Linked DNA regions of Mus musculus: all the other regions are reported to be linked to region 6. Evidence: microRNA targets listed by miRTarBase, many of them from high-throughput screens and not tested one by one. Region 6 holds a microRNA gene; each other region holds the end of a gene's coding sequence.
What was found. The annotated mature microRNA mmu-miR-26a-5p reads UUCAAGUAAUCCAGGAUAGGCU and lies in region 6 at 1,803-1,824, opposite strand. An mRNA with a match to its seed (bases 2 to 7 or 8) in the 3' UTR can be bound and repressed. Matches are read on the target gene's strand: a 7mer-m8 pairs with bases 2 to 8, a 7mer-A1 pairs with bases 2 to 7 and ends in A, and an 8mer does both.

Region 1: miRTarBase lists Ube2q1 as a target of mmu-miR-26a-5p. Seed matches in the 3' UTR shown: 7mer-A1 at 1,928-1,934 and 7mer-m8 at 2,368-2,374.
Region 2: miRTarBase lists Ddhd2 as a target of mmu-miR-26a-5p. The part of its 3' UTR that is shown has no 7-base or 8-base seed match.
Region 3: miRTarBase lists Rnf141 as a target of mmu-miR-26a-5p. The part of its 3' UTR that is shown has no 7-base or 8-base seed match.
Region 4: miRTarBase lists Ulk1 as a target of mmu-miR-26a-5p. Seed matches in the 3' UTR shown: 8mer at 1,758-1,765 and 8mer at 1,850-1,857.
Region 5: the mRNA of Ctsl is a reported target of mmu-miR-26a-5p. Seed matches in the 3' UTR shown: 8mer at 650-657.
Region 7: miRTarBase lists Arfrp1 as a target of mmu-miR-26a-5p. Seed matches in the 3' UTR shown: 8mer at 1,309-1,316.

Annotation. Positions count from the first base shown.
Region 1 is chr3:89,781,325-89,785,473 of GRCm38, forward strand. It overlaps Ube2q1 (ubiquitin-conjugating enzyme E2Q family member 1), which reads left to right. Exons shown (of 13, transcript NM_027315.4): 11 at 44-139; 12 at 447-513; 13 at 933-2,673. The coding sequence ends at 964. Among named protein-coding and RNA genes, the nearest start is that of Ube2q1, 9.8 kb to the left of the region's middle.
Region 2 is chr8:25,724,567-25,728,715 of GRCm38, reverse strand. Ddhd2 (DDHD domain containing 2) reads left to right here. Exons shown (of 18, transcript NM_028102.1): 17 at 979-1,086; 18 at 1,353-3,392. The coding sequence ends at 1,060. It overlaps Plpp5 (phospholipid phosphatase 5), which reads right to left. Exons shown (of 7, transcript NM_028000.1): 7 at 3,829-4,149. Among named protein-coding and RNA genes, the nearest start is that of Plpp5, 6.6 kb to the right of the region's middle.
Region 3 is chr7:110,813,663-110,817,811 of GRCm38, reverse strand. It overlaps Rnf141 (ring finger protein 141), which reads left to right. Exons shown (of 6, transcript NM_025999.3): 6 at 962-1,277. The coding sequence ends at 1,112. Among named protein-coding and RNA genes, the nearest start is that of Rnf141, 29 kb to the left of the region's middle.
Region 4 is chr5:110,782,645-110,786,706 of GRCm38, reverse strand. Ulk1 (unc-51 like kinase 1) reads left to right here. Exons shown (of 28, transcript NM_009469.3): 27 at 272-407; 28 at 480-2,218. The coding sequence ends at 535. Among named protein-coding and RNA genes, the nearest start is that of Pus1, 4.1 kb to the right of the region's middle.
Region 5 is chr13:64,360,511-64,364,659 of GRCm38, reverse strand. It overlaps Ctsl (cathepsin L), which reads left to right. Exons shown (of 8, transcript NM_009984.4): 8 at 460-2,770. The coding sequence ends at 562. Among named protein-coding and RNA genes, the nearest start is that of Ctsl, 7.9 kb to the left of the region's middle.
Region 6 is chr9:119,029,486-119,033,634 of GRCm38, reverse strand. It overlaps Mir26a-1 (microRNA 26a-1), which reads right to left and starts at 1,839; the gene lies at 1,750-1,839. It overlaps Ctdspl (CTD (carboxy-terminal domain, RNA polymerase II, polypeptide A) small phosphatase-like), which reads right to left. Exons shown (of 8, transcript NM_133710.3): 5 at 3,383-3,439; 6 at 7-99.
Region 7 is chr2:181,356,263-181,360,411 of GRCm38, reverse strand. It overlaps Arfrp1 (ADP-ribosylation factor related protein 1), which reads left to right. Exons shown (of 8, transcript NM_029702.4): 7 at 673-773; 8 at 851-2,722. The coding sequence ends at 938. It overlaps Rtel1 (regulator of telomere elongation helicase 1), which reads right to left. Exons shown (of 34, transcript NM_001001882.3): 34 at 3,796-4,149. Among named protein-coding and RNA genes, the nearest start is that of Arfrp1, 7.1 kb to the left of the region's middle.

The DNA.
Region 1 (4,149 bases), not on the chromosome of region 6:
AAGCTGTATCCTGACTTCCTGCTTTGTCCCTGCCGTGCCCCAGGGCTGGAGCAGTGCCTACTCCATAGAGTCCGTGATCATGCAGATCAGCGCCACGCTGGTGAAGGGGAAAGCACGGGTGCAGTTTGGAGCCAACAAAGTAAGGACCCTGGGACTGTGAGAGCCAAGTACAGTTTAGGCCACCAGCCAGCTAAAGCTGCCTTTTAGGGTCAGAGGATAAGGCCCCTGAAATGGAGGGAGGGCATTGGCCCCAGGGGCATCCTCAGATGTTGGGGTGGCACAGGTCTGGGAAGAGATATCATGTGTGGTGTGTCCTCAAGGTCTTCCCAGGCAGAGATGGTTGGTTCTAGAAGCTGAGACTCCTGGGCCCCTGGGTGACAGCCTGCAGGTGAGGGACAGTAGGTTGCAGATGGCCATGACCTGATCTGATGGTTTTCTCTCCCCAGTCTCAGTATAGCCTGACGAGAGCACAGCAGTCCTACAAGTCCTTGGTGCAGATCCATGAAAAAAACGGTGAGGCTGGCCCCAGGCCAGGCCAGGCCCCGCTCTAGTCAAGTGCAGAGGCCTTCGTGGTTTCTGAGCCTTACTGTCTCCTGGTCCATTGTCTGCCCAGTTCTCCAGAAGTCTGGAGTACTGTCCCTCTTCTTCCCAAGAAGTAACCAGTAGTGGGGTTTCTGGTAGCCTGGGCACTGTCCTCTGCGTTACCCTCTGCAAAGCCCATCCAGTTCCTGCCCTAGGTGGGCTCACCATTCTCCCTCCCTTACAGTACCCTCCGGGTAAGCCGCCTCCGCTCCCCTACACAGTAGCCTTCCTAGCATATGCTTTCCTGGAACATGGAGGTGTCCTCAGGGATTGATTGGGGCAGGTGAAGTTGGCCTGGGCCTCCCCTCACTATGCTGGTTTGTGTTTTGTTTGTCTGTCTGTTTGTGCAGGCTGGTACACACCCCCAAAGGAAGATGGCTAGCCCTGGAGTCTCACCCTTCCTCCTCCCCAGGCACCACTGGACCAATTACCTTTGAATGCTGTGTTTGGATCTCACGCTGCCTCTGGTTTCCCCCCCTCATTTTTCCTGGACGTGATAGCTCTGCCTATTGCAGGACAATGATGGCTATTCTAAACGCTAAGGAAAAACAACAACCCACAACACACACTGAACTGTCTCAAGTACTCAAGACTGACTACAGACCAACCACCTCGCTGGAACCCTTGCTAGCAGGCATTCTTATAAAGAAACTCTCAAGCCTCCTTATATTGCTGGAAACTCAGCTGTGCTCCAGACTAGAGCCTCCTTACCTATGCTATGGGTTTTTAATTTATTTTCTCTTATTTCATGTACACTGCTTTTTTTGGTTACAGTGTATGATGGATGTGTATGAAAAAATGTATCTTTGGGAAAACAATTACAGTTTGTTAATTTGAAGATGCTGGTCTTGACTCATCTTTATTTTTATTCCCACATCCCCTGACTGCTGGGTGGGGGGAGGGGTGCCAGGCCCACCATGCTTTGGTAGCAAGGAGAAGCTGCAGAGAGGCTGCAATTCGATGCTAGCACAAGAGAAAGGCCAAGCGGAAGCACTCGCCTGATCTGACCCTAGATTTCTCCCGAAGGCCTCTGGAGCAACCAGTACCTAAACTCTTTGGAACAGTCTGGCTTGCTGAACTACAGTGCAGAGGCCCAGAAACATCCTGATTATTAGTACCTCTTTGTACTAATCTCCATTTTTGAAATTTCCAAGAAAAAGATGAGACTTGAGTAGCTGCTTCATGAACTCCTTTTAAGTTGAGTGGGGTGGTGCCCTGGCTCCTGGATGCATGAGGTTTCCTCTAATCCCAAGCAACCTGCTGAGCGGCTGTAACTCACTGGTTCCCTGCCTTCCTGTCCTCTCTTCTCACCTCTCATCTGCTTTATTAGATTATCTAAGAAAAGACTTGAACTTTGGATTCTTTCTAGCCATTCCCAAGTTGTGGGTCTACTGGAAACAGTAGCTCAATGTGGTTGCATTGTGTAGTGGGACCTCGGCTCAGCTCCAGGAACTGCACAGCCGGGGAGAAGTCTGCAGAGCCACAGCTACCAGTGTTGGACCTGCTGTTGTGAGACTGCACGCAGTACATGGAGCCTGCATCTCCCTCTTTGAGCTTGCTGTGGGACCACCTGCCTGCAGACTGGAGGAAGACTGAAGTGACAGAGGCAAGGGACAGCCAAGCCAAGTCCTGGAGCTTAGGAAACCCAGCCCTGGAACAGTTGCCTGGATGTTTGCTAATGCTTCTGAGATGGGCATTCGAGTTTGGCCATCTTCCCCCACTCCCCATCTCTTCTAGGGATTTGAATGTCTTGCTGCTTTAGGGGGATGGAGAGTTCACCAGTCCTACTTGATGCTGCTCTAATTCTGCCTACACCCACCAGGTTAGGGGTGCTAATACATGGTGAGGTTGAGACACAGAGGATACAAGGGGAATAAGTCATTCCATAGAACTGAAATCTATCTCATAGCCTGTAAGGCTTCCTTCTGAACTTAACACCAGCCAGGGCTGGCATGTAGATTGTGTTTTTAGTAACGTGTACTGTGAGCTGTCCTCTGTATAATGTATTTTGTAATGTATTTTTCTCATCTACCAAAGGATGAATCAAATAAAGTTATTTAAATAGTTTGGCTCTAATAAACTTATTTAAAGAAACCATGGGTTCATGTCCACTTGCTATGATGGAAAATGCCAGGTTCTGGGAACTGTGACACCAGCTCTTGACAATCCTCCATTTTCCTTACCAACCCTTTTCTAACAAAATTTTAAGTTTAGGCTTCTTATAAAGTTACATGCATTTAAAGGGGCAGATTTCTTCTCTGCAGTCGGAAAAGCAAGGAATTTGTATCTCTGACCCAGGTAACTTTGCCTGGGTTGTAGCCCACAGCCTAGGGGCTGCTTTTCGGTTTCCATGCCACAGTTTAGAGGGCAGGACAGGGCAGCAAGCAGTAGCCAGGAGAAGGTATCCGTCACCCCAAGCTTGAGCCATGACAACCTTTATTTGCTGGAGTGATGGCTCACTGACTCTACATGCAATACCAAAAAACCTAGGCAAGGGCCCTTCCAGCCTCCCCAAGTCTGCCCCGGCATCCAAAGATGAGGAAAATTTGCTCAGCTGCCTCAGGCTTCTAACTTAATGGAAGCTTACTATTTTTGACTCAAATGTTTATGCCAGTTTAGGAGACTAAAGAAAGACACCTGACAAACAAGATTTTACCCTTAGCAAAGATGAGTAAAGGCAAGACAGAAAGCAACTCCATGCTGGAGCTTCAAGAATGAATGGCTCTTGGGGTAGCACAGGCAGACGGAATGAGCTGGGACACCTCATCAAGGTCTTCACACTTCAGGGCATATGGCTAGATGAGAAGGGAAGTCAGATGGCGGGTGCACACACACACACATACACACCAGTCCCCGATTCCAGGGAGACCCACAGAATCCTGGCAGAGGCTGGGTAGACTCAGGACAGTCAGCTCTCAGAAGCACCAATGATTTCCCCCAGGGATTTAATGGACACCTGGTGTGAATTCAAAATGTCTGCAAAACAAAACACAAACCTTGGGGCAGGTGGTGGCAGAGGAGGGAAGCAGAGGGAGCAGGCTCTGGCGGCAGACCAGCTCCCCAACAAGTCTCTGCTAGCTCCTGGTAACTTCCAGCTCAGGGATGTGGAGGGTGAAGGCTGCAGCAGTGGGAAGCAGGGCTGGGGGCAAGGCAGGAGCAGGCACGAAAAGAGGCAGCCCTGGTCCTGCTGTTCAGACAGTTACAGCTCTCTAAGGAGAACATCTGCTGGGGCTAAAATGTTGTTGCCATGGAAAGAGAGCGCTTAGGTGCTGGAAGACAATGGGGAACCAGACAAAAAGTCACCTTTCTCCAGACCTTGGCTCTGCCCTCCCACCTCCAAACCCTGGGCTATTAGTTAAGAGTGAGACGGGTTCTGATTAGGGCCTGAGGAAGTCCCTCCCTAGGATGCCATTTCTAAGCTATGAAATACCAGGAAGGCCCTTTCACTTTCACCCACTTGACAGGAGGAAGGTGATCCCGTGGGGTGGCTTTCTCAGCGGCTACTGAAGACACAACTGGGCTGGGCACTCGGGCTCTCCTGGCAGCTGTTCTTTGGATCAGGAGGCT
Region 2 (4,149 bases), not on the chromosome of region 6:
CATAGCAAAATGTCTCCAAAAAAATGAGAAAATTCTAGAGACTGTAGCAAGGCTCCGCAGTGGAAGTTTGCGAGTTGCTGGACGTCTCGGGGTGGAGGGGTATCAGAGTGAGAAAGATGAGAGTCTCAAGCTGGTGTTTAGGAGAGACAGGACGAGAGGAAAAGGACTCTAAACTAGGAAGTGGTTATAAATGTAAAATATGCATATTACACATATTTTTTTCTCTCTGTATGGGTTATATGTGTGCGCATGAATACGTATGTGCTCATGTGAGGTGACCAGAGGGCACTGAGTATCCTGCTCTGTCATTCTCTACTTTATTCCTTTGAGACAGAGTCCTGAGCTAGGCTGTTAGCCAGGAAGTCTCAGCAATCCTCCAGTCTCAGCCCCTCACTGTGCTGTTAACTATCCGAGCAGGTTAAGCAGCCTGGCTACTCATGTGAGTGTTGTGTTCCAGACTCAGACCCCATTCTCGCTCAGCCAGCCGTCTAGCCGCTCTCTAACCCCCATCTGATACATTGGAAATTCTGGGTCATACAATCCTATTGCCTTTTCTAAAAAGCAAATAAAGTTTAAAAATGAAGGTGATGAGCAGACAGCTGCTCCTGTTGTTTCAAGAATGCCTCTGGGAGCTAAGAGTGGGTTTATGCTTGTAGTCCTGAGGCAAGAGGCTGAGGCTGGAAGATTTCTGTGAATTCAAGACCAGCCTAAGCCATAGAGTAAGTTGCAGGCACAGCGTGGGTTAGAGTGAGACCTGCCTCAAGCAGTCATTTACCGCCTTTATGAGGGAAGGTGCCAGGACCCTTAACTCTTCCTGTTTCCAGACCACCTCCAAACCACTAGCAATGGACCTCTAAGGCACATATTTTTACAGTAGTAAAAATTAATAAAAAGCTAAGGTATTTGTATAGATTACATGAAAAGCATATGGTGTCAAATGGTTTTGTCTTTTCTCAACGTAAGTTTTTCTCTACACAGGGAATCTGAAGATACAGTATTGCTGGTTCTCAAAGAGATCTACCAAACCCAGGGTGTCTTCCTTGATCAGCCTTTACAGTAAACATGACCCATCTGTGGCTGCTTAATGTAAGTTTTCAATGCAGTGAAGTGTTTACACGTTATAAGGAACATTGGAACCTCAAGAAAAACTCACTTCGAGGACACTGGTTAAAATTCACAGGAAGTGTCCAGTAGCCCACTCAGAAAAGGATTGGTGTACATCTTACCTTGTGCTGGGGATCCCAAGTTACCACACCCAGCCTCCAGACAGGAACCTGGAAAGTCTGTATTAGACAGTGGCATTCTCTGGTGGCTGGTTCCCCTGGGTGACCTTTTCCCCCCCTCTCCCATAGATGGACACTGAGGGAGACTGTCCTGAAAACCCACACGCTTGCTGCTGCAGCTTCCTTCTCAGCTACCTTGTGTCCTGCATGCTGCCTGCCTTACTCCATGGGATCTTCCCAAGAGAACCCTCTTTGGAGACTACTGGAAAGCGGAGGGGCACTCACTGTTCTGTATGGACGCTCAGCAGGTTTTGTGGCTAGGGCGTTTACATATCCCAATGCTTTAACAGCAGCACTTCCTTGTTTCTTACATGGGAATGAATATCTGTTTAGGGGGCTTGGGGGGGGTTACTCCTTATCCTTACCAACACTACGGGTGGGAGTATAAGATGTAGAGGTACTTAGGGGTCCCGTCCCTCTGTGTGTTCTCTGTGCTGGAGGGCTGAGCATCACTGCATTTGGGAGAGCTGCTGGCTTTTGAGCCAGCTTTTCTTTCCTGGATTATATGAAGATCAGACAGAAGCTTACTAATAGCACAGTTTGCTCTGAACACTGTTACGTGAGTGGATTGTAGAACCACTGGTGCTGGTCCTGGTCCTGGTCCTTACAACTGCTTCAGCTTCTGCAACCCTGAAGGTTGTATTAACTGTGTGCCTGCTCTTTTACACCGTATTCCAAGCCAGCGGTGAAGTTGAGGACATTACTAGGTAATACTTATTTTGAAGGTCAACCTGAAATTACATGGCCCTTCCCTGCTGTTCATGTTGTAAATGCAGTCTTTTAGTAGCACCGATTTAAGTCACCTGCTCCTTCCACTTGAGTAAAGGAAGTATGTGACATAAATGTCACATTTTTTTTTTTTTTTTTTTTTGACACAGGGTTTCTCTGTGTAGCCCTGGTTGTCCTGGAACTCACTCTGTAGACCAGGCTGGCCTCAGAAATCCGCCTGCCTCTGCCTCTGCCTCCCGAGTGCTGGGATCAAAGGCGTGCGCCACCACGCCCGGCTGCGTCACTGCTTTCTGAGGTACCATCAAATTGTTTATTACAGTTGGCAGTCATGGATTTGAGCATGCAAGCTAGGCTACCTTCTGAAGGAAAACCCTGTCTACAGGGTCTGAGGAGCTGAATCTGGATAACTCAAGGCACATTGATCGTGAGGAAGGGTGACTGTACACTAAGTGTTCCCTTCCTTAGCATGTGCCGTCATCTTTGTCCTCCTCACGATTGCCCTTTAGCTCCTCTGATTTCCACAGGTCTCTATAGAGTGGCAGGAGAGGTGAGCTGTGTTTTGGTTTTTTTCCTTGTTTTGTAAACCTATCATGGTATCCAGAGGCACTGCACATAACATGCCCTGAAACCCTCAGATGGCAGTGCCCTCTACAGACAGGCAAAGGGAGGGAAGCACTGTGCCCTGGACGTTAGAGAGGCAAGCATGGTACGTCAGGCCCAGCCTGCCTTCCTGCTCATGGGTAATACTGGATGAGCAAGCTACTAAGGAGTTCCAGGTATATGGAATACTTTATTTTTTCTACAATATGTCTTGAGTAAGAATACCTGAGAATTAAGTAGTATATTCATTAAATACTAAAAAGTAAGTTTTGTCAATTGCTGTCTTGAGGTTTGTTTACTCTTGTTAGCAGAGTCATTACTACTTAAGAGTAAACCAAAGTACAACCAAGAGTGCGTTCTTGTGACCAAAGATGGGCAGCTTGGCCCTGGAGAGCTAGATAAACCCCTGCACTGAGAAAGGCTTCTTCCCGCAGTCCGGTACTTACACGTGACCACGCTGAGTGTTATACAAGGCAGTGTGGTGGCAAGGGACCTGGGTGTGGACCTGCACTGCGTCGTCTGTTATCATGCACAATCTCCTGACCAAGGCTGTTTCTAAACTCCAGGGTGACAGCATTCTGTCTGTGATTCTGTCTGTGATTCTGGCAGCACAGTTGGTGGGAGACTGTCTGCAAGGGACGATGAGTAGCTCTGATAACCTTGCTGATATTTTGCACTTTTGAAATGTTTGTTTTATATGTGATTATATTTAAGACGTTAGTAAATGCCGAAATAAAACTATTGACCATTTGCCTACATTCATGTGGCCTTATCTATCATCAAGAAAATCAATATAGTAGGCATTTTCTCTTACATGTTACTAAATTCAAAACAAAAAGTTTTAGGCAACTAACTGATGGTAAGCTCTTTTCCCTTGATGGATGTTTACATTCTCATGGACACTATAGCTCAGAATTGAAACAGAGCCTGTCCTTCAGCATCTGCAATATTAGCTAATACAACTGATACCAGCAGTTAGTTACATACACCAGATGGGAAGCCAGTCTTAATCTAGACCTGAACGGTTCTTATGAAGTACAAACCCTCAGGCACACTCTTGTGTTTCACTGCCAGACTTTCTGAGAAAACGAAGTACACTGAGAACACGTTTAAGACTATGTCAGAGCTGGGCAATGCTGGAGCGTGCTTTTAGTCCTAGCACTCTGGAGGCAGAGGCAGGTGGGTCGCTTGAGTTCACTCACACACACACAGTATGTTATAGGAAGAAATACATAAGAGAGACTTTTATTTAAAGTATAATAACAATAAAATGGTAGCTATCAGTTGGTCCTCCATACCAAGTTCTGGTGATAGCCTCTAGTTGCGCCATTTATTTCTTTATGAACAAAGGCAGAAAGTGTTGCATTTATTTTCTAGATAATATCCCTAATTTTTCTTTCCTAATGTAGTAAAAAGTAAAAAATTGGCCAAAATTGAATGTTTTATTATTTAAGGCTTAATGGAATGTTACCACAAAAAGCAAGCCGAATCAGAGTTTAGCTGGCACTGCCCTTATTTATAAAGGACAGGGATTATG
Region 3 (4,149 bases), not on the chromosome of region 6:
AGAAATCATGTGTGTGTCTGTGTCAGAAGTTACTCTGCATTTGTGTCACTTCCAGTCTTAAACTCAGATGTTCCATCCCTATACAGTTTCCTTAAATCTTCTTGGTTTTGAACCAAAGGACATTTTATCAGACTTTTGATTTTAATAACGTGTCAAAATTCTTTTCTCTTGTTGAATGTGGTGGCACACACCTTTAATTCCAGCACTTGAAGAGGCAGAGTCAGACAGAGCTCTGTGAGTTCAAAGCCAGCCTGGTCTATATAGCAAGTTCTATGGGCTGCTTAGAGACCCTACCTTTAAAAAATGACCTTAATTACTCAGAATAATAATTAGTAATACCTTTCTGCTAAATGTGCAGTGGTTTCCACTTAAATTAAAAATAAATGTTTAAACGTTGCACATTTTACCCTAACTCTCCCACTGGTGAGAGGGAGCTTCCCTTAGGACACATAAGGAATTCTTATTGAGGAAAACTTATTTGGGTGCAGAAGTAAGAACTGAAGATTTTAGCTGGTGGTAGCAAACAAGGTGAAGGAACTAGGTATCTTTCTACCAGAGATGAGTTAGATACTCTGCAGCAGGTGTATGGGAGCATGCCACAGTCCCAGCCCTGAGCAGGCTGGAGCAGGAGGATGGCAAGCCACCGAGAAGAGAAAAGAAAGACTACGCTTACATACACTGGTACACAGTGGTTTCTAAGACGTGGGTACAAGGTCAGCGAGAACGTACTCACTTGCTCGTTTCCCACACATTGACAACTTCAGTCATTCCTGGTGAAATACGTAGGCAACCAGTTGATCCTGGAAGAGAGAATTAAAGGTTGGAGTGAAGAGAAAGATTAATTTTTCATTGCACATTTCTATGTTGTTTGCATTTTTAAAGCCATGTACTTTTCAAAAAACCTGATTTTTTAGAAAAAGAAAAAAAGGAAAAACTTGTTTTGCTTGGACTTCCCTGACAGGAGTGATCGACACAGGAACTGCCCCATTTGTCGCCTACAGATGACTGGAGCAAATGAATCATGGGTGGTGTCAGATGCACCCACTGAAGATGACATGGCTAACTATATTCTTAACATGGCTGATGAGGCAGGCCAGCCCCACAGGCCATGACTTGGGGAAGACTTTCTGTTGTTATTCTGAACTACAAATACACTGTTGTCGTAGAGGAGAAGGGGGGGATATTGTGGCACACACAGAAATATCAGTTTTCCCACCCTCTTATTTTTGCTATTCTGGTATGTCCCGTTCTTAAATAAACTCCCATGTCTTCCATGTATGGTGGGCTACAGTTTGCTACTGTTTAGCCATATTTCCCACAGTCCACCTATTCTATGTTGCTCTTGAGCCCTTTGCTACAGATAGCAGCAATACTTGACACTACTGCTTTTCAGGGAGGGAGGGACTGTTCTGGCATCTTTTTAGTAGGTTTAAGTTTTAGAGTGTTGACAGTTGTAGCCATCTGAGATAAATGACTGAAACTAATGTCTCAGTTGGAACCTGAGGTGTGTGTGCTCTGCCCCCTTGTGGTTCATTATGGATCCTTCAGTACTGTGGCCCAATTGCTTCCTGATGTTATGTCACTTTTGGCCTTGGGTTCTGGAACTACTTATTCTTTATGTTGCCATGATGCAGCACACGGATTAGGACTGTCTGGTTGGAACTTTGTCTCGAAAATGGACTGTACCGGAGGGATCTTCATGGCTGCTTTAGAAAGGCATCCCCGGACCTGGATAGGTGCCCGTTGGATTTTTTCATAATGCCCATGAAGCTTGAGTTTTCAGAAGGATTTTTTTCTTTTATAGAAACACACATTTTATATTTCCAGATTCCACAGAGGCATCCAGTCCTGAGCCAGACAGCGTTTATTTTAGGTAAAGACGCCTTTCTGAGGCTTCGGTTTCCTCAAATTTCTCAGATTAAAAGAAGAGGACGATCAGGTAAACCTCCTCACCAAGCAGTTGTAAAACCCTAAACTCCAGACCTTGATTGGCTTTCTTCCCATTTCTCTGCACTATTCAGGCATCTAGAGAGAGAACCGTGACAGGAGTGCGGCCTCAGTGACAGCCACAGTGGCTTATGGAGGAAGAACGTTAATGCTAACAGTGCAGCCTATAAAAGTGCTAGTGCATGAAATAAGTCCCCTGTAAGAAATGTTAGCGTTCCATAGAAGTCTTCTCACAGATTTTTGGCAAGTTTCAACTGTCCCTGTTTTCCTAAGTATAGATGTACACAATTGAAGTTACTGCTTATTGATTTTTGATTCAGATTTTAATGAATATTTAAATAAAATCCCTTTCAAAGAAAAAGATCTGACTTGATTCAGATTTTAATGAATATTCAAATAAAATCCCTCTCGGGGGAAAAAAAGGTCTGACTTGATTCTGCCCCCAAATACTGAAGACATCAATAGTCCATTCACTGTAAGGACAGGGCAGTGACACCAAATGGCTAAGCAGTCTGCCGAGCATGCGGGCAAGCACAGTGCTGTTGTCTGTCATACCTTAGCTGAGATGGTTTCACAACCCCGAGAAAGTCTTACTCTGTTGTAGGTTCTTATTGAGAAACTCAGATTGTATTTGTGGTTTTCAAACATTAGCATTTCAAGTAAGTTCTGAGAGCCTATTCACACTGAGTGCACACACACACATGCTACCCCGTTATAGAGAAGCTACATATTATTAATACAAGTTTCCTTACACAAACCTTAGTGTGATCGAGTTTAAGTCAGTATATGAAAATGTGAAAATGTATTGGTGATACAGTTACATTAGAATTTGTAAATGAAAAAACCTCTGTTTTGTAAAAATAATAACAATTCAGGGCTAGAGGTGTAACTCAGTTGGTAGAGTGCTTACCTAATATATATAAAGCCTGGGTTCCATCCCAGCACTGCGTAAAAACAGTGATGCTGGTGCACCCCTCCTACCCCAGCACTTGAGAGGAGGAAGCAGGAAGACCAGAAGGCCCAGGTCATCCTCCATCACAGAGTGAGTTCAAGGATAGCCTGGGCTACATTGAAATGCTGTTTCAAAAACAATTGGGATGGCTAGGCTAGAGAGCTAACTCAGTGGTTAAGAGCACTTACTGTTCTTGCAGAGGACCAGAGTTTAATCCCCAGCACCCACATTAGTGGTTTACAACCACCTGTATCTCTCCAAGGGCTCCAACACCCTCATCTGACCACCTAGGGCACCCACATGCATGTTACACACAGAGAGACACACTAGCAAAACAACTTTAAAACATTTTAAAATTCATATTCTGTCATATTCTGTCAACTTTCAAGTGCTCCATAGAACACATTCTCTAAGCCTTGGAATGAGTGATCTTCTGAGATGCTTTCTAGCCCTAAAATTGTCCTTTTGGATTTTGACTTGCTGGGTTTAATTCAAATTGTCTAATCTTAAAGTGTTTCAGAAATTAATAACATAGCTTTAGGGGTTGGGGATATTTCCAGCAATAGCCAATACCTCTATTCCCCAGAATCCTTCATTTTTGAAAGAATAGAAAGTGAGTCCAGTGACTTGATCTTGCCCACTGCCCTTTATTTAAAGTGTGATCTCTGGGATACTAACTGGTCTACTGTGAAGCGTCAGTGTCTCCAACTGCCTTATCAAGTAGTAAGCAGAGTTCTCTATGCATTCCATTGAACTGGGTGGTGACTCCAGATGTCAATAGTAGGTAGGGTTCACCATAGGATCTAATCATAAATTTGTCTCATGAGTAAAATGTATACTTTTTCTATTCTGTACAGCTTTGCCTTTATAAAATAAGAACTACATAAATACATTTACCATGGTAGGAAATTGTGTGCCTTCAGTGATGTGCAAATTGCCTCCTGCTTTAGGGAATTGTTGTAAATTGTATGTTAGTGCTGTGCTCACTCAGTAACAGCAGGTTGGCTCAAATGCTGGAAACGTTGGGTTTCAGAAAGAGTTTGACTATGTATTGATGTAAAGGCTGACAACAGCAAAGCCTGTTTTATTCTTAGGAAAAACTGATACAATGTGCAATAAGTAAACTTTGCAAGTGAACATTAGCTAACTAAAAACGTTTGCTTATGTAATTTCACATTCTTATATACTAAATATTTATATTTATTAGAGGACTGTTTTGTATTGTGCTCTGGGGGTTGTGTTGTTTGTGT
Region 4 (4,062 bases), not on the chromosome of region 6:
CACAGTGGTAGGAATGGCACTGGGTGGTTGCTTAGCACTCTGCAAGCATTTCCCCTTTGCTCCCCCTGGAGGAGGGGTTGTGTACAGACCAAGCAGACAACACAGTGCCCACTGTGCAGGCAGGCCATGTGGATGAGCATCTGTAGCTAATTCCGTAGACCTTTTGTGTTCACAACACAACTACAAGTGAAGTTGGGCAAATCCGCAGTATGCTGAGCAGTCAGGCCCCCTGTCGTGCCCCAGCCCTGCCCAGCTTTGCTGTTGCCTGTAGGTACAATCAGCTGCCCTTGATGAGATGTTCCAGCACCGAGAGGGCTGTGTACCGAGATATCACAAAGCCCTGCTATTGCTGGAGGGGTTGCAGCACACTCTCACGGACCAGGCAGACATTGAGAACATTGCCAAATGTGAGTGCCTTTCCGGAGCTTAAGTGGGGGTGGTAGGTGTGGCCTCCCTGTCTCATGCTCTCTCCTCCACAGGCAAGCTGTGCATTGAGAGGAGACTCTCGGCCCTGCTGAGTGGTGTCTATGCCTGACTACCTGCTGCCAACCTGCAGGGTAGGGTCTGAGACCTGGCAGACTGTCCTCAACACTGATCAGATCCGATGGTGCTGAGACTGCTGCCAGCCAACTCCAGCAGGGATGCTCCACAGTGGACCTGTGCAGACTGGTGCAACTCTTGCTTCCTAGACTGCCAGTCTCTGCTGGCAGGTAGACATCAGAGTGCCAGGGGTCCCTTGCCCACTGGGACAGGAGTTTCTGAACATATTCTTCCTAGCTGGCTCCCTGGCAAGCAGGTATGGTGCCGAGAAGTGGCACCTGCCACCTGAAGAGCCCATGGCAGCCCTGTGTCAGGCAAGGGCCTGAGACCGTTGCTGACTCCAAGCCAAAGCAAGCTTTTCCTCACAGTTCACTTGCCCCATTGCTTGTCCAAGAAAAAAGGGTATGGTCTTCTGGCCCCCTGTTCTCTCTAGGAACTTCTCCCTCTGAGACTACTTACCCAGCTTTGTAAGTCACCGGAGCACTTTATGCATACAGAGACTGGAGAACCTAGCCAGCAGTGCAGACTGCTGGGAACCTGCCTCCTGTTCCTGGCTTTCGTCCTCCAAGACGCTGTATAGATGCAGACCACATCTTTGTGTATAAAAAGCCCAGTGTTCACCTCCTCCTGTGTCTGGTCTTTGGAGGAAAGCAACAGGCTTGCCTCCTGAGGGAGAGATAGTCCTCACGTTTAAATGTTCATTAGGGACAGACAGTTCATTGTGTGAAGCACCACCCATGCTTGTTAAAACTCCTCAACTTCCACACTTTACTCCTAAGATGTGTCTCCACCCTCCCAACTCAGTTTTTGTTCATAAAAGGAAACTTCAGATGTTTAAGGATTGAAAGGGCGGAGGCAGGGCAGGCCAGGTATCACACTGGATGTTGTCCTTGTAGGAGACGGTGCCCGCTGTGTGGCTGAGGCTGTAGCATGTGCCAGAGCGAGTGTGCTGCTGGCTATCTCTATTAACTTTCCCTGGAAGGGCGGCAGAAAAGGCAGTGCCCAGGTGCCGTCCTCCCTGTGCAGTGGAGGTGTGGGTGAAGAATAACATATGCAAACATGTCCCCTGTGGAGCTTTCCTGTCAGTCTGGCTCCTGTGCTTGGTGGCCTTCAGGATCTGTGCTGAAGCTCGTCTTCCAGGCTCCAGGGTGGACACATGCTAATACCTTCCCAGCCTCCCTGACCTGCCAGTCCTTTGTCACGGCTCTGTTCATGCATACTTGAAAGTATCTGAGTGTCCACAAGCTGATGTGGGGTTTCAGAGTTATAGGCCACACACACACACACACACACACGTTTTTCTTTGCAATACTTGAAATATTGCCACTGTGCTTGGTTGTACAAGAGTTGTACAAGAAAGCAGATCTCTAAGACCAGTCTCTTCCTTAGTCACCCTATGACCTCCCTTGCATGTAACATGTTGTATTTATTGCTTTGTGGCCAACTGGAACCCAGAGCCACCAGGGAGGCTAGTGCAGGGATTCCTGACCCACCACCTGGTTCCTGAAAGGCTCCTGGGTGGCTGTGTGTGTGTGTGGCTGGCTGTGTGTGGTATGAGCCAAACCTGCTCATGAAAGCAGTGCTCAGGCCTGTCAATTTTAAGATGAATTTTGTGAGTCTCCCCCTTTTGTGTTTCACTGTGTCATATCAGTTTAAGAAAATAAAAATTGGAATTATTTATGTGGTGTCAATTTCATCCTGGGGTGCCACTGTCCCTCCAGGAGCCGGGTGTGCCTTCAGGTCTGTCTGGGCAGGTTGCCTGTGTCCCCCAGCCAGATTGAGTCCAGTAGTACTTCACGGTGCCGGTGGTGTGGTGGCTTGCTCAGCACCGGAAGCAAGCCTCAGTTTGATCCAGGGATAGCTGGGTGGGTTCATTGTATCACCCAGGAAACAACAGTTCCCACTGGGTCAGGTGAGGATCCAGAGAGGGTGGGGCAATTCTCCAGGCCCCCTAGAGTGGAGCATCATTGATAATGAACCTTCCCCATTTTGAGAGACAGGGTCTTTGATTCCTAGGCTCAGATGATCTTCTGTTCTCTGCCTCAGACTTCATAGCAGGGACTGTCGGGCACCCCATTGCACCTGGCTTCACTTGTCATTTTATTCTAAACTTTAGCAAGTATGCTCTGAGGTGCAGTTTCCCAGCACTAATCTTCTATAAACCATTGGCCACTCTGTATGCTTTATTTGTTCCAATCCTCTGTGCTCTCCAGCCCCTTAAGTCAGGCTCTCTATAGTCTAGGCAGGCTGCAAACATGCTATGTTCAACAACCAATCCTGCTTTTAGGTGTTGGAATCACAGATGTATATCACTGTGCCTGGTTTTACTTTGCCTATGCTACACACATTTGGGTTTTTTGTTTTTCTCAGAAAACTTCCTTGATCTGCCTGTGGTTCCCTTTGCTTGCTCTGGCATTGGTATCCCAAGCAAACATCTAGATGTAATGCTTTCATCTTACATCTGTATTATCTTCGCAGGATAAAAATTATTAGGTATAGTAATACCTATATATCATAGTAAACTAATCCAAGATATCACATGTTCATGGAGTCCATGTTTTATTTTTATGCCCTGTTGAGACATTGTTTCAGGTGTCAGTGGTTAAAAGGTTTTATTTATTTTATATATAGTAAATACACTGTAACTGTCTTCGGACACACCCACCGCACGAGGACTTCAGATCCCATTACAGACGCTTGTAAGCCACCGTGTGGTTGCTGAGAATTGAATTCATGCATGACCCTTGGGAGAGCAGTCAGAGCCTGCCAGATAGTTTAACTCACTAGCTGTGGTTGGCTTTGAACTCCCAATCCTGCCACACCCTGCCCAGTGCATGGAATGCAGGCATGGTGTTACCACGCCTGGAGCAGTTTTAGGTTTATAGAGAGACATGGGGAGGTCCTGTTTTTCCTTCTTGCAGCTGATAATTCTTGTTAGCATCTTTGGGTTTGGTGCTACAGTAGACCAAGAGCCTCACGTGCTATGCGAGTGTTTCACTATTGTGCTATATCTGTAGACCCTTAACTATTTTGTATGTGTGTGTGTCTGTGCACTTAGGTGCAGGCACTGGAGAAAGTCAGGAGAGGCTGTTGCATCCCTCTGTGCTGAAGTTAAGAGATTTTTATGATCTGATGTGTGCGCTGAGGTCTGAACTCTGGTCCCTGTGATGAGGCATTTCGCTGTCCCTTTCTATGAGACAGAATCTGGTGAAATTTATGCTGGCTTTGAACTTTTGATTGTTCTGCCACAGCCTCCCCATTACTAACCTGACACCCGCGCCACCACACCCAGACAAACCAGGATACTTGAACAGTGATGTGCCACTGTCACTGCAGTACAGAACTGAGTGCTGTCTTGTAACTCCCGTTCGGCCTGATCATTCTCTTGAACCCTGACCCTGGGATTTCTTTAGAAAATATTGAACATCTATGTTCATATGACTGTGCTGGGGTGGATACATAGTGGAGTCCTGGAGTGGACCTGGCTGACTGGTTGAGGTACAAGGTTCCCTGCGACCTGAA
Region 5 (4,149 bases), not on the chromosome of region 6:
CATGGTTATCCCAACACTGGCCTTAGTGTCATGCTTTTAGAAAATTGGTGGCATTAACCTTGGTTACACACAACCCTGTCTCAAAATAAGTGAGGGGCTTGGGCAATGACTCGGTGGATAAGGTACTTGCCACTCAGTCATGAGGACCTATATATGCTTGGATTCCTACCACTCACATATGGGCTGCATAACACAACTGTAACCCCAGTTCTGGGCACTAGGGGGCTGTGAGCTCCAGGTTCAGTGAGCCACCCCTATATCAAAAAAAGTAAGAGCGTGATAGAGGAGGGTAGCAGTGTCTGCCTCCTGCTTCCATGCAGTTGAATGAGTTGAAGACCCACAGGAATGAGTGCCTCTATATATTCTATGTTTAGATCTTAGAACCCTCAGAGGTAAGTGCACTCCTATTTTTTAAGTATAAACTATTAATTCTCTCATATCTCCTTGGATCTCTTTCAGCTGGGGAAGTGAATGGGGTATGGAAGGCTACATCAAAATAGCCAAAGACCGGGACAACCACTGTGGACTTGCCACCGCGGCCAGCTATCCTGTCGTGAATTGATGGGTAGCGGTAATGAGGACTTATGGACACTATGTCCAAAGGAATTCAGCTTAAAACTGACCAAACCCTTATTGAGTCAAACCATGGTACTTGAATCATTGAGGATCCAAGTCATGATTTGAATTCTGTTGCCATTTTTACATGGGTTAAATGTTACCACTACTTAAAACTCCTGTTATAAACAGCTTTATAATATTGAAAACTTAGTGCTTAATTCTGAGTCTGGAATATTTGTTTTATATAAAGGTTGTATAAAACTTTCTTTACCTCTTAAAAATAAATTTTAGCTCAGTGTGTGTGTATGTGGGACTTCAGTGTGTAATGTGTTGACAAATGTTCGGGACTAAATACTGATTCAGGGTGACATGGTACAGCAAGAAAAAGGTGGCAGGTGCTCTGGAGCCTTCGGATTTCACCTCAGTGTCCCATCAGATTAGGTATGTGTTAGTGAATCTAGCTTGGGATAATTGTTTTCTTTTTGTGTGTGTACATGGTAAATGTGTGGAGTTCAGAGAACAACTCAGTTCCACAGTGTTGGTCCTATCAGGTCCTAGCCATCAAAATAAGGTTGTCAGGCTGGGCCACAGGTGCCTTTTACTACTGAGCTATCTTGCCAGCCCCACTAGTTTTTAAGTGACATAATTACGTATGTTTATACTATAATGTGTTTTTGATATGATGTGTATACTACAAAATGATCTGATAGGGCTAATAAGCTTACCTCAAATATTTAATTACTTTGTTGAACTTTTCTAGCTGTTTTTAAAATACACAGTATATTATTGTTGGAAACTGTCCTGTTATGTAGACCAGGCTGGCCTTAAGCCCATGATCTCCCTTCCTCAGCCTTCTAAGGGCTAAGATAAACATGTAATGTTATACCCAGTCTCAAGTCTCATATCTGGCAAAACTTGACAGTCCAGAAGAACATGAGTAAATCGCTCAGCACAGGAGTCTCAACTTTTCTAATTCTGTGACCTTTCAATATAGTTCCTCCTGTGTGACTCAAACCATAAAATTATTTTTGTTACTACTTTATAACTAATATTGCTACAGTTATAAATCATAATGTAGATTTTTTTTTTTTTTTTTTTGGAAATAGAGGTTTGTCAAAGGAGTCACAGCGCTGAGAACCACTGTTCTAGAAACTTGCAGGTTTTACATATTAGGCTGACTGGAAGAAGGTTGAAGTGCTAGTTTCAGTAGTGCCTGTCCACATTGCCAGTGAAGACCACAATCCTGCTATGTAGTTCTAGAAAGGGCCATACACAGGTGGGCTGTAGGCTGACATTATTCCCAATTGGCCTGAGAAACCCCATGCTACCCAGGAATGACAAAAAAATAAATGAATAAATACATTAAGCAGTTGTGATTAACTTCCCAGGTGATGACAATACTGGAGATGGGCATGCCCCTGAGGTAGAATGATCCAGGCATGGGCGTAGCCAGCCTTGAAAATGTCAATGACTTAGCAGGGTTCTTTTCAAAACTGAATTTTTACAAGGGAGTTCATAGATGGACCTTGATGGAAACTGACTACCAGAAAAGACTCGATCTCTCTGCCATGTTGGGGTCAGCAAACAAATACCACAAGATAAATGCACTTCAGCATTTCAATTATACCGTTTGTATGCCCTCTGCCTTGCTACTTTCACACCAGATTGTCTAAAATGCCTGACGGACGCCGCTTCAGGAAGGAAGGAAGGATTCGTGTTAGGTCATAGTGGTCAGAGGGGTACAGGTCATGATGGTGATGGGGCACGGGAGGACCAGAACAGTTTGTTTCACTGGTCAGGAAGGAAGGTCAGGAAGCAAGGTGAAGGCTGATGCTCAGCTGGCTTTTTTGTTTCCAAATCCTTTTATTATCTGAGCCCTGAGTATATGCTATGGTGCCATCCACAATCAGGGTAGATCTTACCTTAGTCTTCTCTGAAAATGTCCCACTGAACACACAGCATCTCTTAGATTATTTTTATTTTGGGTGTTGGGGATGGAGTATGGGTATGTGTTTGCATAGCACGTGTGCGTGTACTTAAAAGGTCAAAGTTCGGGCTGGCGAGGTGGCTCAGTGGGTAAGAGCACCCGACTGCTCTTCCAAAGGTCCAGAGTTCAAATCCCAGCAACCACATGGTGGCTCACAACCATCTGTAACAAGAACTGACTCCCTCTTCTGGTGTGTCTGAAGACAGCTACAGTGTACTTACATATAATAAATAAATCTTAAAAAAAAAAAAAAGACTCTAGTAAAAAAAAAAAAAAAAAAAGGTCAAAGTTCAGTGACTTCTTTAATCACCTTCCTCATGGGTGCTAGGAGTTGAACTTGGGTCCTCTACAAGGGCAGAAAGTACTCTTAGACCATGAAGTCATCTCTCCAGCCCCCTGTTGCATGCCATGTGGCTGAAATTGACATCTGATGACATGAAGGAACAGATTTACAAATTGGCCAACAAAGGCCTGACTCTCTCCCAGATAGGTGTGATCCTGAGGGGCTCATGGTGTGGCACAGGTCAGTTTTATGACTAGAAATAAAACCTTGAGAATCCTTAAGGCCTTGCCTCTGATGCCCCTGAGGATCTTTCCCATTTGATAAAAAAAAGCAGTTGCAGTCCGAAAGCTCCTTGAGAGAAACAGAATAAGGATGCTCAATTCCACCTGATTCTGATAGCAGAATTCACTGGTTGGCTGGATACTATAAGACTAAGCGGGTGGTACCCACCCAATTGAAAATATGAGTTGTCCACAGTCTCTTTTGTGTACACAAGCAACAAAATCACTTTGAGTTAAAAAAAAAATTCAGGGGAGGGCTGGTAGGATGTACTCTACTTCCCAGAGCAAAGGTGGTTATCATGAAGCTAAATGAAACAGCCCTGACCTTATGTTTTGTGCCAGGGTCTAGCACTGAACTTGGAGCTTATTACTTTGGCTAGTCAGATTGGCCAGTGAACGTCAGGGCTAGAGTACAGACATGTGCTGCCGTTTGGCATTTATGTCAGTTCTAGAGGATCCAAACTTGGGTCCTCCTGCATCTCTCCCACTTCTAGGTGATAGCAAACCCTTCTGTCTTAGGGTTTTACTGCTGTGAAGAGACACCATGACAATGGCAACTCTTATGAAGAAAAACACTTAGTTGGGGCTGGCTTACAGTTCAGAGGTTCAGTCCCCTATCATGGTGGGAAGCACTGCAGCATGTAGGCAGACATGGTGCTGGAGAAAAAGCTGAGAGTTCTACATTTTAATCAACAGGCATTAGGAAGACAACTGGTGTGAGCTTTTGAGACCTCAAAGCCCACCTCCTAGTGACACTTCCTCCAACAAAGCCACACCTACTCCAACAAGGCCACATCTCCCAACAATACTAGTGCCGATGGGGCCATTTTTATTCAAACTACCACAGTAGAAACTCCTTGGCCCTGATAGGCTTATAGCTATCATGCATTTGATAGCTAAATGCACTTGATCCAACTTCAAAAGCCCTCATAGTCCATCATAGTCTCAACATTGTTTAAAAGTTTGAAGTTCAGAGTCTCTTTGAGACTCATGCAATCTCTTAACTGTAAACCCCTGGAAAATCAAAGTAAAAAATAAAA
Region 6 (4,149 bases):
ACGCACCTTGGCCAAGCTGGCAGTAAAGAGCACACACTCAAAGAGCTGCCCCATCCTCTGGAGGAACTCGTCCACGTGAGGTCGCTTCAGCACATACACCTGCGGTGGGAGGAGACAAGAGCTGTCAGTCATAGCATCCAGGGACAGCGTGGGCCTTGGAAGAACTGCCAAGGGGCCCTTCTCCTGTTGCCAGGCCTATGTACGATTTACTGAAGCTTGCACTAGGTTCTGCGTCTCAACCCTTGTAGAGAGAAAGGAAAGCCGACCACGTCGTCAAGGTTCTTGAGTATCTTCGGAGCCAGTAAGCAGAGCACAGCTGTGCCATGTCCAGTCGCAGTTGCTCATGCATCCACTTGGCACTTGCTGAGTCAGCCCCTATGTGGCCACAGGCCACAGCCTAGGTGCTGTCCTTCTGGAAGTCTAGGACTAGCTGCGGCCTCCAACTCTGAACATCCCTGCCCCCTGGGGTTAATGCACTTGAAAACTTTCTAGTGGACACCATGGAGGTCACCCTGCTTGTGTAGGGGTACAGAAAGCACTTCACATGGGTAAGGGGCTGCTTCCCACAGTTGGGCTCTGTGTATCCTTCTGATCAGACCAGACAGGCCTGCGAAGCAGCTGGTTTCACCTAACACCCAGGCTGCAGTCTCTGGAGGCTAAAGGAATGTGTAGGAACTGGAAGAGAGAAAGCAAAGCCAGGGAGAGGCAGTGGGCAGAGGGAGGGACCAATTAAAACTTGAGTAAATTCCACTAGAAGTTAGCTACATCTTTAAAATAAAACATAATTACCAGGTCTCAGCGCTGTGCTCAGTTCAGCTACAAGGCTGAATTGGAGCCCCCAATCCTCTGGAGACTCGTGTGGTGGGCCTTGCCGGCTCAGCTCACTCAGTCTTGAGCACACACTGACAGAAATTAGTGAACACAAGAAATCTCACAGTGGGGTATTCATTCAAGATAATTCTCCCTTCCAGAGGGCGTCTCAGAAAGCAACATCTGGCCTTGACCTTGAATAAAGAGGAGCTCACACGCTGAGAGAGAGAGAGAGCTGAGCCTCCAACCCGAGCAAAGTGTGAACGTGAGGATCGGAAGCGTCACAACACTTGGGTTTGTGTTGGGCCAAAGCCTGTGTCCACAGCCAACCATAGGCAGTGAGAGAAGCCCTGGAGGCTGCTCAGGGAGGAAGCAGTTAAGGTAAAGAGCTAAAGGTAGCAGTAAGCCACAGGGCCTCTAAGGGCAGACAGAGCAGGGGAGGGGGCTGCGGAAAGGGAGAGGAGACACAAGACTGCACCCCATGCAAGGAAAACACACTGCAGGACAGACTTCCTAGATGGAAACACTGCTTTGCAGCATGCCAGGAAAAGGCGCTTCCTAGGGCAAAGACCTGGAGAGAAAGCGGCTGGCTAGCTTTAGGAGTGGGTTGGGGGTCTGGCTCTGCAGCTGAGGGTGGAGAGAGGGGCCAGAGGAATATAGGTGGTCTATCCTGGGTGCCACCAGGATCCTGCTGAGCTGGGGTGTTGGGCTAGGCTGAGGGCAGAGCTGTGTGGCTGTAGCAGCTGCAGGACCTGCTTTGCTCATAACACTCGTTGTTGCTGGTGCCAGTGACTGGGTGTGGCCTCCGGTCCTGAGTCTCCGGGAGGACTGCTTGGCCAGCAAGCTTGGCTACAGGCAAAGGGTTGGAGATGGACGGGGGAAACTCTGTTGTTGCCGCCTTTAGCAGAAAGGAGGTTCCTGGGCCCAGATGCCGGCGTCCAGGCCCGCGTCCCCGTGCAAGTAACCAAGAATAGGCCCCTTGGGACCTGCACAGCCTATCCTGGATTACTTGAACGAGGCCACGGCCTTCGCCAGGGCCTCGGTCCTCCAGCTTTTGTACCTTCCTTCTCTCTGGAGTTTCTGCTCCCAGCCCTGATGCCCGGGGTGTCTACTGCCAAAGAGAAGGGGCAAGGGAAGCCGGGGTGGGTCCTGCACTCCGGACGTGCTTGTGGCCACGTGGTGTGAAGAATTATTTTCTTGGGCAGTCCTCCTGAGCCTCACCTCAAGGACTCTTCGACTTTAGACACAACAACCAGCGCAGAGGTCCTAACTGCATGGCGGGGGTGGAGTTAATTCAGTTGGTGCTTTGTGAATGGTAAGTGACCAGGTGCCTGAAACCTTCCCAGGTCCTATGTCCTGTAGGACAGGATAGAGAGCTAGGTGGGGGTAAGGGAGACAGGGGGAACCAAGTCTAAGGAAAGAGCCCTGGCTTAGGAGTCAGGAAATCTTATCCTGATGATTGTCATATATAACCTTCTGTCTGGGCAACGGAATGGCTAAAACAGCTGATTTCACAGCCCTGGATTGTTCTAAACTGCACTCAAGAGTTAAGGAGCCTTATTGGCATCGTTAAGAAATGACATCCTGTGTGGCCCAGGAACCAGGAAATGTCTGTCCCTTCCTGGGATATGAGGCCAGATACTCTCCCCTTAAGGCCTTGAGTTTGATGGGGGAGACAGTCTGTCCCATCACTCCTAAGAAACATGTGGCAAAACTATATCTACCTTAACCTCCAAGGCGAGCTTTTCTACCATGTTTCTAATGTATTCATAGACGAAGTCATTTCCAGAAGAGCTTGCTGATGACGAAGAAAAAATAAAGAAGAAGCAACTCCCCCAAACAAACAAACAAACAAACAACCCCAAAACAGAAAACCCCAAAAACCGGAAGAAGATTGATGCCAGCTGACGATGACAATTTATGCACAGCACCCTGCTGGTCTTAACACACCCTTCCCCTTTGCTCTGGGTTGAGTATTTGCTAAAAAAGACACTGGAGAAAACCACATGGGCAGAGAAGCTCTCACGGGAGCAGTTGGCATCAAAGTGGACATTTTTCCCAAGAATGCTCCGTCAGTGGGTGACTGGTGGCATTTTCCTGTTGCTAGGAGAAGCCAAAAGCAAATGCATGATGAAGTTGACCAGATGTCAAACCCGGCCAGCGGTGGGGACAACTAGGGGATTGCACAAAGGCTCCTAAAAGTTGAAATCAAATCAGAGATCATACCTAATATTTATTAACAGAAAAGGGTCCTCATAAACACGGTAAAAAGCAAATGCATGCATGAGGCAGAGAATCATTCACAGTATTTTTATTTAGCTTTTGAGACAGGGTTTCTCTGTGTAGCCCTGGCTGTACAAGGACTCGCTTTGTGGACCAGGCTGTCCTCAGACTCAAGAGATCTGCCTGCCTCTGCCTCCATGCCTGGCTTACTATACTTATTATACAAAGTTTGTTTCCTGAAGTTAGAATAAAATGGCCACTGAAGTGAGAATTGAAAAAATGATGTTCCCAGGGAGTGTGGTTACAAGAAAATGCTCTCTGGAACTGCAGGCTAACTCTGGTTCCTTACCTGGTGTATGGTTCCGTCGATTTCAACAGGAACAATGAAGTCAGCATTACTAATGGGCTAGAGAGAAAAGAAATTGTGATTAATACATATGAAAGGAAAGAGAAAATTGGAAATTGTAGCAAGAAAGAAGCTTGCCTGGACCAATGTTTTGACGATGGCAGGAAATAGTTCACAAGGATGCTGGCAGAGGCCTTGGGTCCTTGAAATAAACATGTAGGAAGGAGTATTTCTTCCTGTCCTGAGTGTCCTGGAGTTCCAGCATCTAGCCCAATCTCTTGGACACCTGCCTGCCTCAACTGCAAAGGGTGGCATAGTCTGGCAAGAGAATGGGGCTGCTCAGACTCCAGCCTGGAGCCCAGACAGGATGGGGGACGGGGGGACGGGGACGGACCACTGATGGCCACCAGGGGGCAGAGATGAATGCCTGCTGGCCAGTTGTCACTACCACTGGAAAAGCAATTTGTCCTTGGACTCAGAGTGTGGGCAGCTTGGCACAGGATGCTCAGAGGACAGAGCCACAGCAGGCGGAAAGCCAGATGCCACAGGCGAATATCCTGGGTAGACATTCCCCTCTGGACTTCAGCATCTGCTCCTCAACTGTTATGGTGGTGGGTGCGATGGGTCCCCACGGCTCCATCAGGCCTCAGGCCCTGCCTGGTGGCCTGGCCTGGTTTCCTACTCTGGGATTGGAGGACGGCCAGCCTAACTGCTCTGTTCTAAGAAACACAAGACAGCTTACCTACAACTTCACAGGCATTTAACCTAAC
Region 7 (4,149 bases), not on the chromosome of region 6:
TTTAAAGTGGGGGTGGAAAAGTGAAGACAATGGACAAACTCTTAGATGTGCTACTTCCCTTTGGACTTCTGGCTATACAAAGTCCCTACCGTCTTACTAAAGAGGCTCTGTATAGTAAGAGCTGTAGAGGACATGATGGCCAACAGTATCTGGAGGGCCAAGGAAGCTTTACTTTCCGTAGGCCCCATGTATTTACCCATTCTCATCTGACATGACCTGTCCTCCACTCATTTGCGTGAGGACGTAAGTAAGTCTCTGGTACTTGGCTGAGGAACACAGGGGTATTCTCTTAAATGAACAGGGGGACAGAGGAGCCATTGAATACTACCGAGGCTTCTCACCCCTAGGGCCATGGGCCCTGCCTCACTTGGCATTTGAGCTCCTGACTTAGTTCCCAGTGTCCTGCTGGTAGATGTTCTGGGGATTAGTCTTGGAGGTGGTGAGGAAGGTTTTCTTGGGCTATGTGTGGATTTCTAAAGCCATCAGCAGTAGACTTGTTGACCATGTGTGTTGACCACTGGTTTCTATGAGGATCCAGGAACCCTGAGTAGGCTCACCCCTACAGAATTTTTAGGGTGATTGACTATGGCCATCCAGAAAGCCCAAGTGAATAAACAAGCTATATGGAGCTAGAAGTGGGAATGTTCCTCAGAGTCTCACTTTCCCTGCCAGACTTGCCTCTCCATTCCTGACATCAAGACTGCATTCAGTGACTGTACCTGTAAGATTGGCCGGCGAGATTGTCTGACCCAGGCCTGCTCTGCCCTCACAGGGTGAGTTGAGTGAGGTCTTACTCTGCAGAGTCTTCAGGGCCAAGATTAGCCCTGTCTCACACATACTGTCTCCACAGCAAAGGAGTTCGAGAGGGCATCGAATGGATGGTGAAGTGTGTCGTGCGGAATGTTCACCGGCCACCACGGCAGAGGGACATCACATAAGGACCTCCAACCTCAGTCTTGGACTGTTCGTCTCCTAGTGTTGGAAGAGTATTCTCTGCTGGCTTCTATCCTACTGACACTGGGGGTTGAGCTGCCTTTGTCTGTTCATTCTTTTATTTGCTTTATGTTTTCTCTAAGACAAACTTTTCTCTGTGTCTGGAAAAGTGTAGGTATTCAGAGACAAACATGGGGCACGCCAACGATCCAAATCTACATGCCCTACACCTCCATCCCCTGACAGAGATTTAGAGCCCTGCCTGATAGACATGTCAGGGTCTGGAACCCTCCCAACCTTGTGAGGACAGGGAGGCATGAGGCCATGCCTAGGCCTGTTAGTTAGCCTGGTTCAAAGTGGAATTTGAGGTCATCCTACTTGAAAGGGTGTGTGGGGGGGGGGTTGTTCCTGTGACAGCTAGCTGTTTTGTCCAGCTTGCCCATGGAGAAGGTGGGAATGGCCAAGGCTTACCTCACTTGGAGAAAGAACCCACATCTGAGACCAGCATGGCCCCTAGTTGTTTTGTGTGGAGTTGGATATACGTGTGGAAGAGACAAGATTTCTCTGTAGCCCCAGTTAATCTCCGCCTCCTTCCCTATATCTGTGGGGATTACAGGTGGGCATCACACTGAGTTTTCTACTAGGTTCTGATACACTCTCAGAACAGGGTTCAGTAGACCTGCCTGGGAAGCCTAAGTTCCCTTATTAACTCATTCTCAGTCTGCTTTTATCTCCTAAGGAGAGAGCTGATCTTACTGGTGTGTGTTTCAGTACACCCATATACAGGTTGTGTGGTATCCCAAGGACACAGATTTCACTATATCTCCAGATGTGTGTGAGGTATATGTTCCATGTAAGGTGCAGGTTCCTGGGGAGGCAGCAGCTATGCTGGGACTGGCCATGCCCACTAGACCTACTGGGTTAAAATTTTCATCATGTGGTCAGGACAATGTTTAAAATAAAGGCTGCCTGTCTAACCATCCCTTCAATCAGTTAGATGGTGGTTCCCTATTGTCCAGGCTAGCAGTTATAGCCAGAACCTGCTCTTCTGGAGTACCTTCTGAGTAGGGTTCTCTTCAGGGAGGTTTGGAGTTGTGGCTAAGCCACCGGTTCAAGAAAAATCTAGTGGCTCCTTGTCCAAGTCAGGTCAACCTCCCCATGGGGGCCTGGGAGGGGCAATGGAGAAGTTAAAATCAGGAGGGGATAGATACTGATTCAAGGAACTGTCCTGCACATAGGTGTCTAGGAGCTTGGTTGAATCATTCCTAGAGGACCCTCCTGGGAATTAAGAGTAGGTTGCTTAAAAAATGGTCAAGCTAAGGGGATATCCTCTAGCAGAGGGTACAAGATATCACTGGTGTCTTTCTGGCCATCTTTACTCAGTTTTGTCAACACTGGAAAATAAGGGTTCCATGGGGTGACCCTTGGGACACCTTATGGTGGACAGGGAACAGATAGTCCTTCCTATGGGTGGTGGTCATCCTGGTGTGGAGCTTGCTGGCTTGGAAGCATAGTGGGATGAAAGCTTCCCACAACTTGAGAGTAATTGTTTTGCTGAAATGATTAGCTTTATAAAAAGTAAATATGAAGAAGTCTAAAGTTGGGGTGACATTGACTGCAAGCGTAGAATAAAGTCCTGTGTGCAGTAAAGAGTTAGCCAGTCACAAGGAAATCTGTACATAAGCACCTCTATAGCTGGGGCAGCCTACCCTTCATCAGCAACTGAAACAATTGTGGCAATGGTGCCTGGTCCTGAACTTCACTAAAGTTAGAGCACTCCTGTCAAAGCTACAACTATAAGGCTACAGGGCTTACAGTGTCACTGTTCTCCTGGTGCCTGCTGCAGCCAGCACAGCCCTTGAAAGGAAATATCCTGGGGTGTTACAAAGTCTGTGATGGTATGTTCCTATTCCTCAGTTCCTACTGAGGATGACAGGGATTGGTCAGTTTAAAGAGTTAAGGAGAGAGAAGTCCCTAAAAATTAGACATGGTAATGGGAAAAGCAGGAACAGAATGCCCATGGAAACAAGGGACATGGCCCTATTCAAAGAGCAGCTCCTGAGCCCCTTCATTATAAAAGGTAAAGAGGGCCTCTCAGAAACTGGGTTGCCTGCTTTTCAGCATCAAAAAGCAACATCGCCTTTAGGCTAACACATATGGGAGCTGCCTATCCAGGGCCTTGACCTTGTCCACAAGCTACAAATCTGTTGGTTGGTTCTCAGAGGAGGACCTGGACATGGTAAAAGCCAAGCCCAGGTGAGGGCCGAGCAATCCTAGTGAGGGTAGCACTGTCCCCACTGAGTATTCCAGCTGTTAGGGGCTTGATAAAGTGGGTGGAAGAGGCAGTGTCAGGGAATACTTGAGATCCCCCTACAATCCCAAGCTCCCGTAGTCTCACCACATGCAAGCACAAGGTGAGCAAAGCATACATTCTAGGCAGAAGCCTACGTGTGTTAAGTAGCCTAGGCAGCAGCAACAAGCGATTGTGGGTGGTGTGGTATGCTCATGCTCCCTGTGGATGAGCTGACACTGCAGTAGGAGCTGTGTTCTAGAGGGTTAAGCTACAGAATTGTGCATAGTTGGTGTGGGGACACAATGGTGTCTAGCTGATGAAAGGGGCAATACAGGGGATGGATGGAGGGAAGCTCCTTATTGGCTTAAAGCTAACTGGTATGGAGAATGCTGCAAGTCTGGAAAAGATCTTAACAGACCTTTATCCTCCCACATATTTTTTAAAAAAGGTGTCTTTCTGTAGCTTTGGCTGCCCTGGAACTACAGGAGATCCTGTTTTTGCAGGGATTGATAGTGTGCCACACTTGGCACTGCCATGACACACAGTTTAAGACCACAATACAGACACCATCCTGATAACTTAGTTTTATTGGACAGCCTACACCTTCAGTGGTACATGTGCAATGCCAATATAGGCTATTTGAGGTTTCAGAACTTCACAAGTAGATTCAGATCTCATTGGACAGCCAAGCATGAGACCTGCAGTGGGTTTAACCACATCAGGGCAAGCAAAGGGCTCCATCTGTCTTCACTGGGGCTTCGGCCAGATGACCTGTGTAATGCTCTGCTTCCTGTTAACAGCACCACAAGCCGGACACAGTCTAGAGGCCTGTGGAGATACCTGCTAGGCACTGAAGCTTGGCATTGCTCCCTTAGCCCCCACCACCTGGAGAGATGCCTGATGGGCTGGAGAGGGTTAGACCC